Linked DNA regions of Mus musculus. The protein of the gene in region 1 interacts with the protein of each later gene in a pairwise test. Links are inferred from orthologs where the notes say so. Each region holds a gene or a part of one and is shown in the gene's direction. Other genes may lie near its edges. The genes, in order: Ndel1, Ccser2 and Cep170.

What was found.
Region 2: the proteins of Ndel1 (region 1) and Ccser2 interact in binary tests that used the Homo sapiens proteins (3 or more experiments, as listed by UniProt). The link is inferred for Mus musculus from reciprocal best matches to the Homo sapiens genes NDEL1 and CCSER2.
Region 3: the proteins of Ndel1 (region 1) and Cep170 interact in a two-hybrid assay, tested with the Homo sapiens proteins (2 studies listed by BioGRID and IntAct). The link is inferred for Mus musculus from reciprocal best matches to the Homo sapiens genes NDEL1 and CEP170.

What each region holds. Positions count from the first base shown.
Region 1 is NC_000077.6:68,850,224-68,854,626, reverse strand, and holds the start of Ndel1 (nuclear distribution protein nudE-like 1), read left to right. Parts: upstream 1-1,491; 5' UTR 1,492-1,685; exon of another isoform or gene 1,686-2,269; intron 2,270-4,403. UniProt on the Homo sapiens protein: Required for organization of the cellular microtubule array and microtubule anchoring at the centrosome. May regulate microtubule organization at least in part by targeting the microtubule severing protein KATNA1 to the centrosome.
Region 2 is NC_000080.6:36,937,651-36,941,300, reverse strand, and holds part of Ccser2 (serine-rich coiled-coil domain-containing protein 2), read left to right. Parts: intron 1-36; 5' UTR 37-75; coding exon 76-1,489; intron 1,490-2,520; coding exon 2,521-2,717; intron 2,718-3,650. UniProt on the Homo sapiens protein: Microtubule-binding protein which might play a role in microtubule bundling.
Region 3 is NC_000067.6:176,737,516-176,741,165, reverse strand, and holds part of Cep170 (centrosomal protein of 170 kDa), read left to right. Parts: intron 1-1,076; coding exon 1,077-1,247; intron 1,248-1,996; coding exon 1,997-2,085; intron 2,086-3,544; coding exon 3,545-3,638; intron 3,639-3,650.

The sequences.
Region 1 (4,403 bases):
AGCAGCTCTCACCTTTTCTTCTCTTACAATGCTAGTTTTATAACTTGTGCTTCCTTTTGAGACTGTCATCTTCTTTACTGATTTATTTCCCATGGATTTGGTGTAATGGAAGGAGGTCGGGCAGTTTGCTGACTCTAGGGTACTATTCCAGCCTCTGGGCCAACGAAGATCAGAGCAGGGCCTTTGGCTTCTGAGGGCTCTGCCAAGCTAAGCCCATTCATTAAGAAGGGGATGATGCCAGTCCTAGGGGCAGAGCAAATGGGAGGGGCAGCAGCCTGGGAGATGATGTCACTGTTTTCTGAAGGGCCTGGCCAGCCATTAGGTGACTCAGTGTGTTTCTTAGCACCTCAGCCAGGAGGCAGGACAGAAGCTGTGGCCTTTTTATCTTTTCCTGTTTGGGTGGGACGGTTCCTGTCTTGGCACCGGGTCTATAGGAAAGCCTTCATTAATCACTTCTCTGCCTTAAGTCTGATTAGATTGAGCAGAGTTTCAGGTAGGGAAGCCAGACTGAGTTTCAAAGCTGTTCCAGGCCACTGGCCTGTAAAGCAGACCTTTTTTTTTTTTTTTTTTGAGTCTTATGTTACAATATAGATCTAATGATTCCAGCTTCAAATGTTGTTGATGGTTAACAGTAGTGTATGGAAGGCACTTTAGCCCCACGGTCTAGCCTATGTTTCCCTTCTTGTCAGCGTAGTAGTGGATAACAGTGTAGCTTCTGAGTTTGAATTTGCGCTGTAGGTGAGTGACCTTGGGGAACTTCATCTTGCTATTTCTTACTTGTAAATGAGAGTGACGTGGGGTTACTGTGACAAAGCAATGCACCCCAGTGACTGGTACAACTACGGGCGCGACAAACCGCACAGTGAACTCATAATCTCTTTTTAAAAACCCTATATCCTTCATAGTGTAGTTCAAGACGCTCTAGACCCCAGTAATCTTCCTCTGCTCATCAGTTTGGGTTCTCCTTAAAAATCCATCTCGCACCGTTTTTTGTTTATATTGACCTTTCCCAACCGTATACGTGGGCTCACCTTGTCTTTCTTAGGCTCAGCATATGTCTTATGCTATGTTGTTTTGTCTTCAAACTTCAAAACCAATCCCAACAGCACTGAAATAACAATTACATTGAGCATGAGACAGCTAAAGTTCCTATAGTTGTTCCCCAAATGCCTTTTTTAAATTTAAGTTTCTAGTTCCAGGACAGTTGTGTATTTCTCCTGTCTCCTTCGTGAGCTAGTACTCTATACTGGCTTTATACTGGCTTCCCATTTTAGCCTAGGGAACTACTCTCCTGCGCAGCACAGCTTCCGGAGACAGCACAGGGCTAAAAAACCCACCTCCTTCGGGGGTCCGGGGCGGCGCCTGCGCAGGACGCTGTCGCAGATCTCACGTCAGCGCGCAAAGCCTAGGTCGGCTCCACGTGACTCTGGCCTCCCACCGCTCCGCCCCGCACGCCAGCCTGCTTCTGCGCATGCTCTTGACTCCGCCCCCGTGCGTCACAGAATGGCCTCCGACACCCAGGGAGCCCCTGACGTGTCGGGGAGGAGCCCGGTGCGGGGATACGCGGAGTGGAGCTCAGGGCTGCGGAAGGGAGCAGAGCTGAGCGGCTGGGCGGGCCTGGCCAGGCCAGCGGAGCAGAGACGTCGGCCGAGCGGCGGCGAACATGCGCTTTTGACACATTGGCGGTGAGCTCCCGTGCGACGCAGCCTCTGGGGTTCGAGCCAGGCGGGCAGCGCCGAGGCCTGCCCCGGGGGAGCCTGCCTGACCGCCGCCGGGCTGGGGCTCAGCCCGCTGGGCCAGGCCGGGCTTGGGTTCTGGGGCGGCCCGTACCGAGACAACTGTTCCAACCGCTTTAACTGTCCCCTCCTTACTGGCGGAGGTGTGGCCCACCGGGGGCACCTGCGGGAGAGCGAGTCCCGGGCTTCCAGAGGAGGGACGGAGGCCGGGACGTGGCACCGGGGGCTGAGGCGCTGACGGCTCGAGGAGTGGCCCAGTTGGGGTGGCGGAGGCGCGCCCAGCTTCTCGCTCCACCCATCCTTGATTCCCTGGAGCTGCCGGGGTGGTTAGGAGCCGGGCAGGATCTTGATTTCCCAGCGCCCCAGATGCGGGAGGCGAGAGCAGGAGCAGCCCGCGTTGGCAGAGACTGGCAGTCTCGTGACTGCCTGCCCCGAACTGCTAATCATCCTCTTTGGAGTTGGGGAAAGTCTCACTAACCAACCGACCCCGGTTGCTTGGATTCGCTTCTTATTTTTCTCTGAGAAACGATGAGGTGACTAACACTTTTAAGTTTAAGGCGAGTGAGGGTCCTTTTCATTACCCGGGCCCATTCCTGTAGCGTTTGTAAACATTTTAGAACATTTGCTGTTTGTACTTGCGACGGATACTGTAAGTCACTTTTTGCTGGATGGGGAAATTGAACCTAGGTACAGGAGGTTGGGGCAACTGAGTGATTTTTATTTGGGTTCCACTAACTGGTGAGAAGTTTAGCTTGGGTTACAATTTACCTTTCTAAGCTCAGGGTTCTGGTTTCTGTTTTCATGAGATTTTTTTTTTTTAACTTCTTCAGCCGGAAAGAGGACTGAACATTGGACTTGTTAAAGATAATACCAGAAGTTACTAGATGACTTATTTATTTTCGAGTAAATTGACCAAAAAAACCAAAAAAACCCCAAACCAAACAACAACAACAAACAAAAAACCCCCAAAAGCTCAGTTACTAGAAAAATCTTATCCTGAAGCTTGCTCATGAGTGGCTGGTTGTTAGTCTGAAAATTATGTTGCTTTCACTGCACTTAAGAGGTAGGGTAATGTCTGCCAAATCAGAAAGCTGAGAGGGCAAAGCTCATCATTAAGTTAAGGAGTCAAAAGAGACCAAAGGACACCCAGTTGGGGGTATCTCTTCTGAATTGTTGTTAAAATCTTAGAGTAGGAATACATAAAGAACAAAGAAAACCTTTAGCTCCAGTTAGAGACAAACTTAATCTTAGAAGAAGTTGCTAAATCTGCAGTGCCTTGGTTTTGAATTGAATTGAAGTTGGATCCAGAGCATTTGAAATAAAAAATAGACCTGAACATGCTTTTATGAGACCAACAAAATTTATTTTCATGCGTATTTTAAACCATGCTAAAATAGACTTGAGGATTGAGGACTTAAGTTAAAATTACTTTCTAGGCACTTCATAAGGGAGAGAAATAAGGCCTATTTCATTCTGCATATATGTTAATAGTCATGTAAAATTAATTTTCTTAGTGCTGTACAGAGTATCTTTGCCAGTAAGCTCTGTTAGATGATAACTGTTTAAAGTTTCAGTGAGCTAATTGTCAGTTGTTCACATCTAAAGGTCGTAGAGTGTGAGCATGTCTGCTGCAGAAGTTGTAATTGTACACTCACACTCCATGTGAGACCTAGAATTAAGGAAGATGGAGAGGAGCAGAAAGTCCTTGTCTGCTAGCCTTGCAGCTGTAGAAGATTGTAGATATGCCATTTGAGCACTTTTTAAATCAGTGAAAGATTTGACATTGGCTAACTTTCCCCACTTACGTAATCTCAAGCGACAGTGAGCCTCTCCGAGTACCTGGAGGCAAACTCCACACACACAGTTTTGAGATCACCTGCAAGGGTAGCACATTCGTTACTTGAACCTGGTTCTTAGAAGGATGAAGTTGATGAATAGGTGTAGGGATAAAGCTGGGTACTGCCAGGCGGGAAGCAACAGATACAGCGTGTGATGGGAGGGAAAGAACTTGTTTTAGTCTAGCGCATAAAGCTTGTTCCAGGAGAGACGTTAGGGATGCTTTTGTAATGAAAGGAGTCATCTGCTTATAAATTTGGAAGTCTGTTTACTCTGGTCTAACTTAAAGGTCCACTTCTGGCCTAGTAGTTTCTTAGAGTTGAATTAACATTTATGTGATGTTTATGCATCAGGCTCTGTTACACGTACTGTGCCAATAGTAACTCACCTCATCTTCCAAATACAACTGATCTTCCTGTTTTATAGGTGAGGAAATGAGGCACTGAGAAGTTGAATAGCTTGCCCAAGGTCTCTCAGCCAGGCCATAGTTTGACTCTAGGGCCTGAGCTTTGCATGCTGATTTTTCTGGCTAAATTAATTTTCTTTTAAAACCTTATTTCTGTGTGTGAGTGTTATATGTGTGAATGTGGGTGGCTGCAGAGGCCAGAAGAAGAGCTAGAGCTAGAGGGAGGGAGTTGCCCTGTGTTGGTGCGGGGAACCATATTCTAGTCTTCTGCAAGAGCCACTGAGCCACTTTTCTAGTCCCCTCAGATTTGTTCTTTTAAAAAGTAGATATATTTATTATATTTAATTTTGTGTAGGTTTGTGTCTGCATGTGGGTATGTTCATGTGAATGGAATGTCCACAGAGACAGGAGGCATCTGAATCTCT
Region 2 (3,650 bases), on another chromosome or scaffold:
TGTTATTTAGAAATGTTAATCTTTTTCTTCCCTCAGATTCTGTCAAGTTTTAAGAACCAATGCACCTTATAGCCCATGGAAGAAAAAACACAAATCAAGACATTTTTGGGTTCCAAGCTGCCGAAATATGGAATGAAATCTGTGAGAAGTACATTGCAGCCGATGCCAAATGGCGCCACTGTGACTTTATTAGGGACCTCCAAGAGTAGTAATGTCAAAAGTTACATAAAAAATAATGGCTCTGATTGTTCATTGTCCCATTCATTTAATTGGAGAAAAACAAATAAATATCAACTTGGTTCACAAAATACAGCAGAACTTAATAATATTCAAAGTACACATGATAAACTAATTGAGCCTGAACAACATGCACCTGCTCCAGGAACGCTGGATGGGCATGGGATAAAGGGAGGTTTGAAAAGTGCTTCCTTGTTCACATCCAAGTTAGCAAGACCATCAACCATGTTTGTGTCATCGGCAGAGGAGTTAAGTCAAAAATCTTTCTCTGGACCATCTAATTTGGGTAAATTTACCAAAGGCACATTACTAGGAAGGACTTCATATTCTTCGGTCAATGCGAAGTCACATTTGAATGCGTTTTATGGGAACAGATCTTCTGGTAACGTGCAGAAGCCAAGAGTGAACTCCTGTGCCAGCAGAAGTAGTTCTGGAGAAAGCTTAGCACAGTCCCCAGACAATGCTAAATCTATCACTTGTGAAAAAATGGTAAGGTCACAAAGTTTTTCACATTCCATTCAGAATGTCTTCCTTCCACCTTCATCTATAACCAGATCGCATTCCTTCAACAGAGCTGTAGACCTTACAAAGCCTTATCAGAACCAACAGCTCCCCGTTCGAGTGCCTCTCCGGTCAGGTATGCTAACAAGAAGTTCTCTGCAGTCAGAAGTACTCAATGGGAACGAACATGTGGGGTTTGGTTTTAATAGGCCTTATGCTGCTGCTGGAAAGAAACTGGCCTTATCCAATGGCCCCGCTGTCTCGTCCACGTTGGTTTATAGGATGGCTCATCCCCCTCTACTGAAATCTAGCCGACCTCCATTTTCTGGGCCCATGACAGTTGACAGTAATAAAAACCCACCTGCTGACATGTGCGTAGAGGAAGAAGGTATGGTTTCAGCCCAGGACAGCTCTCCGGGTAAGGACCAAGAACTAATTGAAAATGAAAGTTACCGAAGAGACAATGACCAGACTGGGAAGAACGAGTCTAAAGTTAGGTACCTGAGCGATGACGTGGATGATATTTCCTTGTCGTCCTTGTCGTCTTCCGACAAGAATGATTTAAGTGAAGATTTCAGCGATGATTTCATAGACTTAGAGGACTCCAACAGAACTAGAATAACGCCAGAGGAAATGACTCTCAAAGAAGAAAAGCATGAGAGCAGACCATCAAAGGATATATTTGATTCTCCTAAGGAAAGTGAGCAGGCCTTCAGTAAAGCTGAAGAGTGGATAGATATAAGTGTCTCTGGTAAATATGGCTATCCTTAACTTCCGTGCTTTCCCTGGTGATTACAGCAGAGCTAACATTTAGCCTTGCCTTGATAGACTGTAAGACGCTGTTTGACTGAGGCGGCTCAGGCTGGAGGAGAGCGCAGCAGAGCAGCAACCTTGCGGCTTGTTTCCATCTTGCATTATTTTCTAGGATAGAATCAGTTAAACTCTTTATACTTTGCCTTTTTGGGAGCTGTCTTATACATGCCAAGTCCTGCATTGTGTAGGCCATGGTTTCCAGACAGTTTTCCCAACTCTGCCTGGGAGTGGCTTGCCACTAAACGCTAAACCACACCATTCGCCGTAGCCATCATTGCAGTCTGCTAGGAGTCAAGCTATATCAAACACAAGTCAGATAACATAAGCCTGTTTAGTTGAAAGCTTTCTATCCTCGGGAACAGTTCTGTTTAGCAGTCCTTATGTGGTACTACTCACTGAAGCATTATTTACTGACGGTACCGAGGAGGGAGAGTGAATGCCTATTAGACTTGGCTATATTGGAACTTAGTGCAGGATGAATGTCATTTGTTCATCTACCCAGAAAAAGAAGCCCAAAGGGAGTGCACAAAGGCATGTCTAGTCAAGGGACTGGCTCACTCATAGTGATGCACTAAACTGTCTTCAGGCATTATAAACTGGAAGATGCCTAGAACAAGTTGTCTTTTAAGGACATATCTGTGAGATTAAGTAGTCTGTAGAGAGGAAGAGAGTTTCCTAAACAGTGGTTAAAATGAAATAAATACCTTAAGAAATAGTAAAGGAATGTGAAGATGTAAAAAAATGAGTGAATTTTATGTTTATTACAAAATGTTTTAGTGGCTTATTTTGAAAACTTTGCCTCCCCCCCAAAAAAAAGTTTATTTAGTATTTAGGAAAATGCTACAGTTATAGTTTTTGAACCAAATGCTGTTATAATAGATTGGATTATTAGAGCTTATATTTTAGAAATGAGAAATGACTGTGTTTTATAAATTCACGCTTTTTTCTTTCTTTTAAAATCATTTGAAGACAGGAGTGAATGTACAAAGCATACATCTGGAAACAACTTGATTTCACCGGATACGGATTACAGAGCTGGGTCTTCATTTGAACTCTCTCCGTCCGATAGCTCTGATGGAACGTACATGTGGGATGAAGAGGGCCTGGAGCCCATTGGGAGTGTCCATCCTGTTGGCAGCTATGAGTCCTCTGAAATGAACAGCATAGTATGTATGGATTTCTCTACCCTTTGGGAGATTTCTTTTTATTTCTTTATACAAACACATACAAATACACACATACATAATTTATTATAAAGGCATTAGTGTATTGGTTAAGTTAAGCTAAGAACGTGACATCTACAACACTTTTAGTTGCTGTATTGAGAAGTGCCCCTTGGTGAAGGGGTGTCAGGGATGGTGCTTAACATGCGCTTCCTACAGAAAGAGTGGTGGACTGATGGACCAGTTGATCCAGGACCAAGTATCTGGGTAGGCTGTGCTGATGGACTACCTACCATTCTGTCGCCAGTCCAGTGTGCCTTTAATACAGTGGGAGGTTTTGGCTTTTATTCTTAACAAAGTCTTTTGTAGGTCTGGGCGACTCTCTAGGACAGCTGCCTATAATGACCTAAGCTGCTTTGGCTTTGGGTTTGACCTTGTCTTTGAAGCCCTTATTACCAAGACAGAAGGAGACAGGACTGTCAGTCACACCCTTGCAGTATCTAATTTGGCCTGCAAGTGGCTCTGGTGTTTTCATTCACACTTGAAAATCAGTTTGTCTGTGGTCCCACATAAGTACTAAGGGGATAGGAAAATAATCTCCCTGTGTCTGGAAAGAGGGAACTACAAGTGCCACCACATATTAATGCATAGTTCTTTTATAAAACATTACAAGCAACTTAGATACAGACACGCTAATAAAATGCAACTGGTGTGGTTAAAATGGCTCAGGGTAATTATTTAGGTTATGAAATAGAAATACTCACAAATCAAATTGGTTTATAAATATATAACATTCTAACTGGCTTTCAGGCAGCAAAGCTTTCTATATCTATATAAGCCTGTGGCACGGAGAAACCAGATACTGTTATGAAAGGCTTTTAAGTTGCACAGACATAGGTATGTGCCATTTGTGGAGTATCTTCATCTGGCCAGAAC
Region 3 (3,650 bases), on another chromosome or scaffold:
AATTATAAATAGTAACCAAAAATGCCTAGCCTTTTGGACATTTAATCCTGGCAAATTGTGCTGATAATCTTTTCTTCCATTGCTTTTTGTCTCATTTTTTTTTCTTATAAAGCTCCTTAATGGTCACTTCTTGTGTATTTTTTGTTTGTATGTTTTCTAATTTAATAAATGATATTTCATTAATTGTGTAGAGTTTTGTTACCACACTGATCAATTATAAATGTATATAAAAATTGTCTTTGTTGGTTAAAAAAAAACAAAACCAAGAGGATCTTCATGGTGGCAAGACATACACATGTCTCTGGTACATTTAAATGATATTATTTTCTCAGCTTTCTAACTGAATTGTACCTAACATGGTTATTCATTCACTGAGCCCTGGTAGAATTACTGAAACATTTCATGGAATAGACTTTCATTCCCCTTTTGTTTTATTTAAGACTGTTACCCTAGTTATTCTTTCGTCGGTAAACCTGTTACTTGGTGTTGCATGTCCATAGTCTGCACTGTAGATGGTAGGACATTAGTGCTACTGGCAGAAGATGTATGTTCTCTATCATTGTTAAAAGTTTGACTAAGACAAAATACTTACTATATGGATTAATTTTGTTTCCTTTTATAAATTTAATTGAATTTACCATTCATGTATCTTGTGAAGAAATTTAGCACCTGGATTTGGGGAGGAAAAAAGGAAAAAAAAACAAGATAGAAAACTAAAAGAAAAAGAAACAATATTTTGTGCTGGTAAGGCAGTATGAGTAAAGTGAACCCATTGTCCACTCCATGGCCCAGGGTTTTTCTCGTAAAGCATCTATTTTTTTTTTCCCTATGGAGAACATCATGAAAACAATTGTTAAATACTTTCAACCCTGAAAATAAGATTAGCATAGATGAACATCTACTTTATAGAAGAGACCTATTTGGCGTGCTTATTTAAAAAGTAATTGGTTTATTGAAGATGTCATGCTTCTGTTCGAGAATGAAATAATTTCTCTCTAATCATAAAAATTATAGTACCAGTATTTCTACACTTCTCACTATTCTGTTCTCATAAGGATTTACTTTTGTCCCACTAGTTGGTTGATCGTGTTTTTGATGAAAGTCTCAACTTCCGAAAGATACCTCCATTAGTTCATTCTAAAACACCAGAAGGAAACAACGGTCGGTCTGTTGACTCGAGGCCTCAGCCAGCCGAGCATCCTGATCACTTAACAATTACAAGACGGAGAACCTGGAGTAGGGATGAAGTAAGTAAACTGCAGACTTGGAACAGATGGCGAAGAGGCATCTCTGCTGTGCCATATTAGCTAATGTTAGGTTCCAGGTACTTCACGGGTACCAAATTCATTATTTTGTTATTAAAGAGAAAGAGTTGTTCAAACTAAACTAGTAATGGATACAAGTCAAGATTAATTCTAAGTTAACCTAAAAGCCAGTGTTTGTTAAAACTATTTAACTAATCCTTTAAAAAAATAAGGAACTTGAAAGATAGCCCAGCATTTAAGAGTTACTGCTGCTCTGGCCCAGGACTCAGGTTTGGCCTCTAGCCTCTAGTTTTACCCCATTCTGAACTGAGGCAATATCAACACCCATCATGACAATTTACTCCCTCACTTGTCTCTGAAGAGCTGGTGGTTGCTCTCTTTCTCATCTTTGTATTTGTATTATTTAGTAAATAAATAATATAGTACTCTACTTCCATTTTCCCTTTTATGATAATGTAAATTATATATATGAGAGGCAGAGTCATGATAGTAATTAAAGAGGATAAAATTGGTTGTTTTTAAAAATGGGATGACCAAAATAATAGGGAACATTGACAATTTTTTTTAACAAAGGAACTCTGTTGATGTTTCTTCTGCTCTCTGGAATAATTACATCATCCGTATATTTTAAGTTAAAATTAGCATCAATAGTTTGAGTATAGTGAATTGCTGCTAGTGTTCTTAGGAGTTATTCAATAACTATATGTTACTACACTTTTTCTCTGTTTCAGGTCATGGGAGATAATCTGCTATTGTCATCAGTCTTTCAGTTCTCTAGGAAGATTAGACAATCCATTGATAAAACAGCTGGGAAAATCAGGTACTTGTGTTTCTCTAATCTCTACTTCTTGTTTCCTGTCCATTCTCTTCAAACCTGTGGCCACTGCTGTGAGGAGCTAGAGACGTCACTGATGTGGGTTCTTACACTGCTCTTACCAGTTACTTCAGATATAAAGAGCACTAACACTTTCAGTTCCTAGTACTAAAACCATTTTCTTTCTTCACAAAATATTAGTAAATATTTTAAACTTAGCAAACTCTTGAGGTTTCTTTTATTCAGACTGGACTCTAGTGTCTTTGGATAAGGTGTTAGACTGAGCTGTTACGACTCTGGAAGTCTATGATGCAGCAGCCTTAAAGATTAAAATGTATGTAGACTGTTCAGCCATAGGTCCACATTCTTAATAAAAACAAGTAGCTACCAGGGCTGGTGATAGAGGCCAAAGCCTGTGACAGTTTAATCGCAGGGCCAACCTGTCACTTGTGAGGCCTTGCAATCGATTCCCAGCACAGAACATAAATAAGTAAATAAACAAATAATGTAATTTTTTTAAATCCCTATTTAAAGTGAGATTTGTACCATTTGCTTTCCTCTTTAATTTTAGTAGTGTTTAACAGTATGTGAGCCAGGTTCAAAACTCCAAATGTTTAAGATATATTTACATTATACATACACTATTTAGCATGCTATATGTATTTTTTTCTCCCTTTAAGTTCAAGTCTCAACAGACAGAATCCTGATCACTTGTTCTACATCTTGGGCTTTTTATTAACTGAATACCTTTACTTTTTCAAATGTATCTAAAATATTGATAGGTCCTTAGTATTTGCTTGAAATTGGGGCATACAGCCACCTGACTCACTGTTCACTTGTTGTGGAACCTGCTCACATTCCCAGCCAACTCCTCACCCCCACTCCCCACCCCCGTGGTTAGCTGTCACAAATCCCTATAACCCAGTGAAATCAAAACTATAGAGACTTGTAATTTATCAGTCAGATTTATATCAGTAAATTCTCAACCCACAAAATGAACTCAGAGCTAATTACTGATATAAGCTGCCCACCTAGATTGTACAAATTGTCCTATATTATTCTGTCCATTCTGAGATATTCATAGCTACCTGTGGCTACTGAAAGCCAGGTGGATTGGGTTTGTACTCTTGTTCTTCCATCTTCTCTGTCTTTTCTCTCTCTCCTGTCCTGTCTCTGAAACTCTCAGCCCCACCTTCCTTTTTCATTGTCCAATCATAGACTCTAGTCTTATATTACTCCTGCGCTCACCTGCATATTGACAGCAATCGACATTTTAGTACCTATTGAGTTATGTTTTTAATAGATTTTCACAAGCTTGAATCAATAGTGTTCACTATTATACATCTGAGTTCATTGAATGATTATTTTTCTTAATATAGTTTTGAAATTACACAAACTATGTATGTAGTTTTTGATATCATCAACAAAACCATGAACTTGAAATGCTTGTGTTTTTTGACTGTAGAATATTGTTTAAAGACAAAGACCGGAACTGGGATGACATAGAAAACAAGCTAAGAGCTGAAAGTGAAGTCCCTATCGTTAAAACTTCAAGCATGGTATGGTGGTTT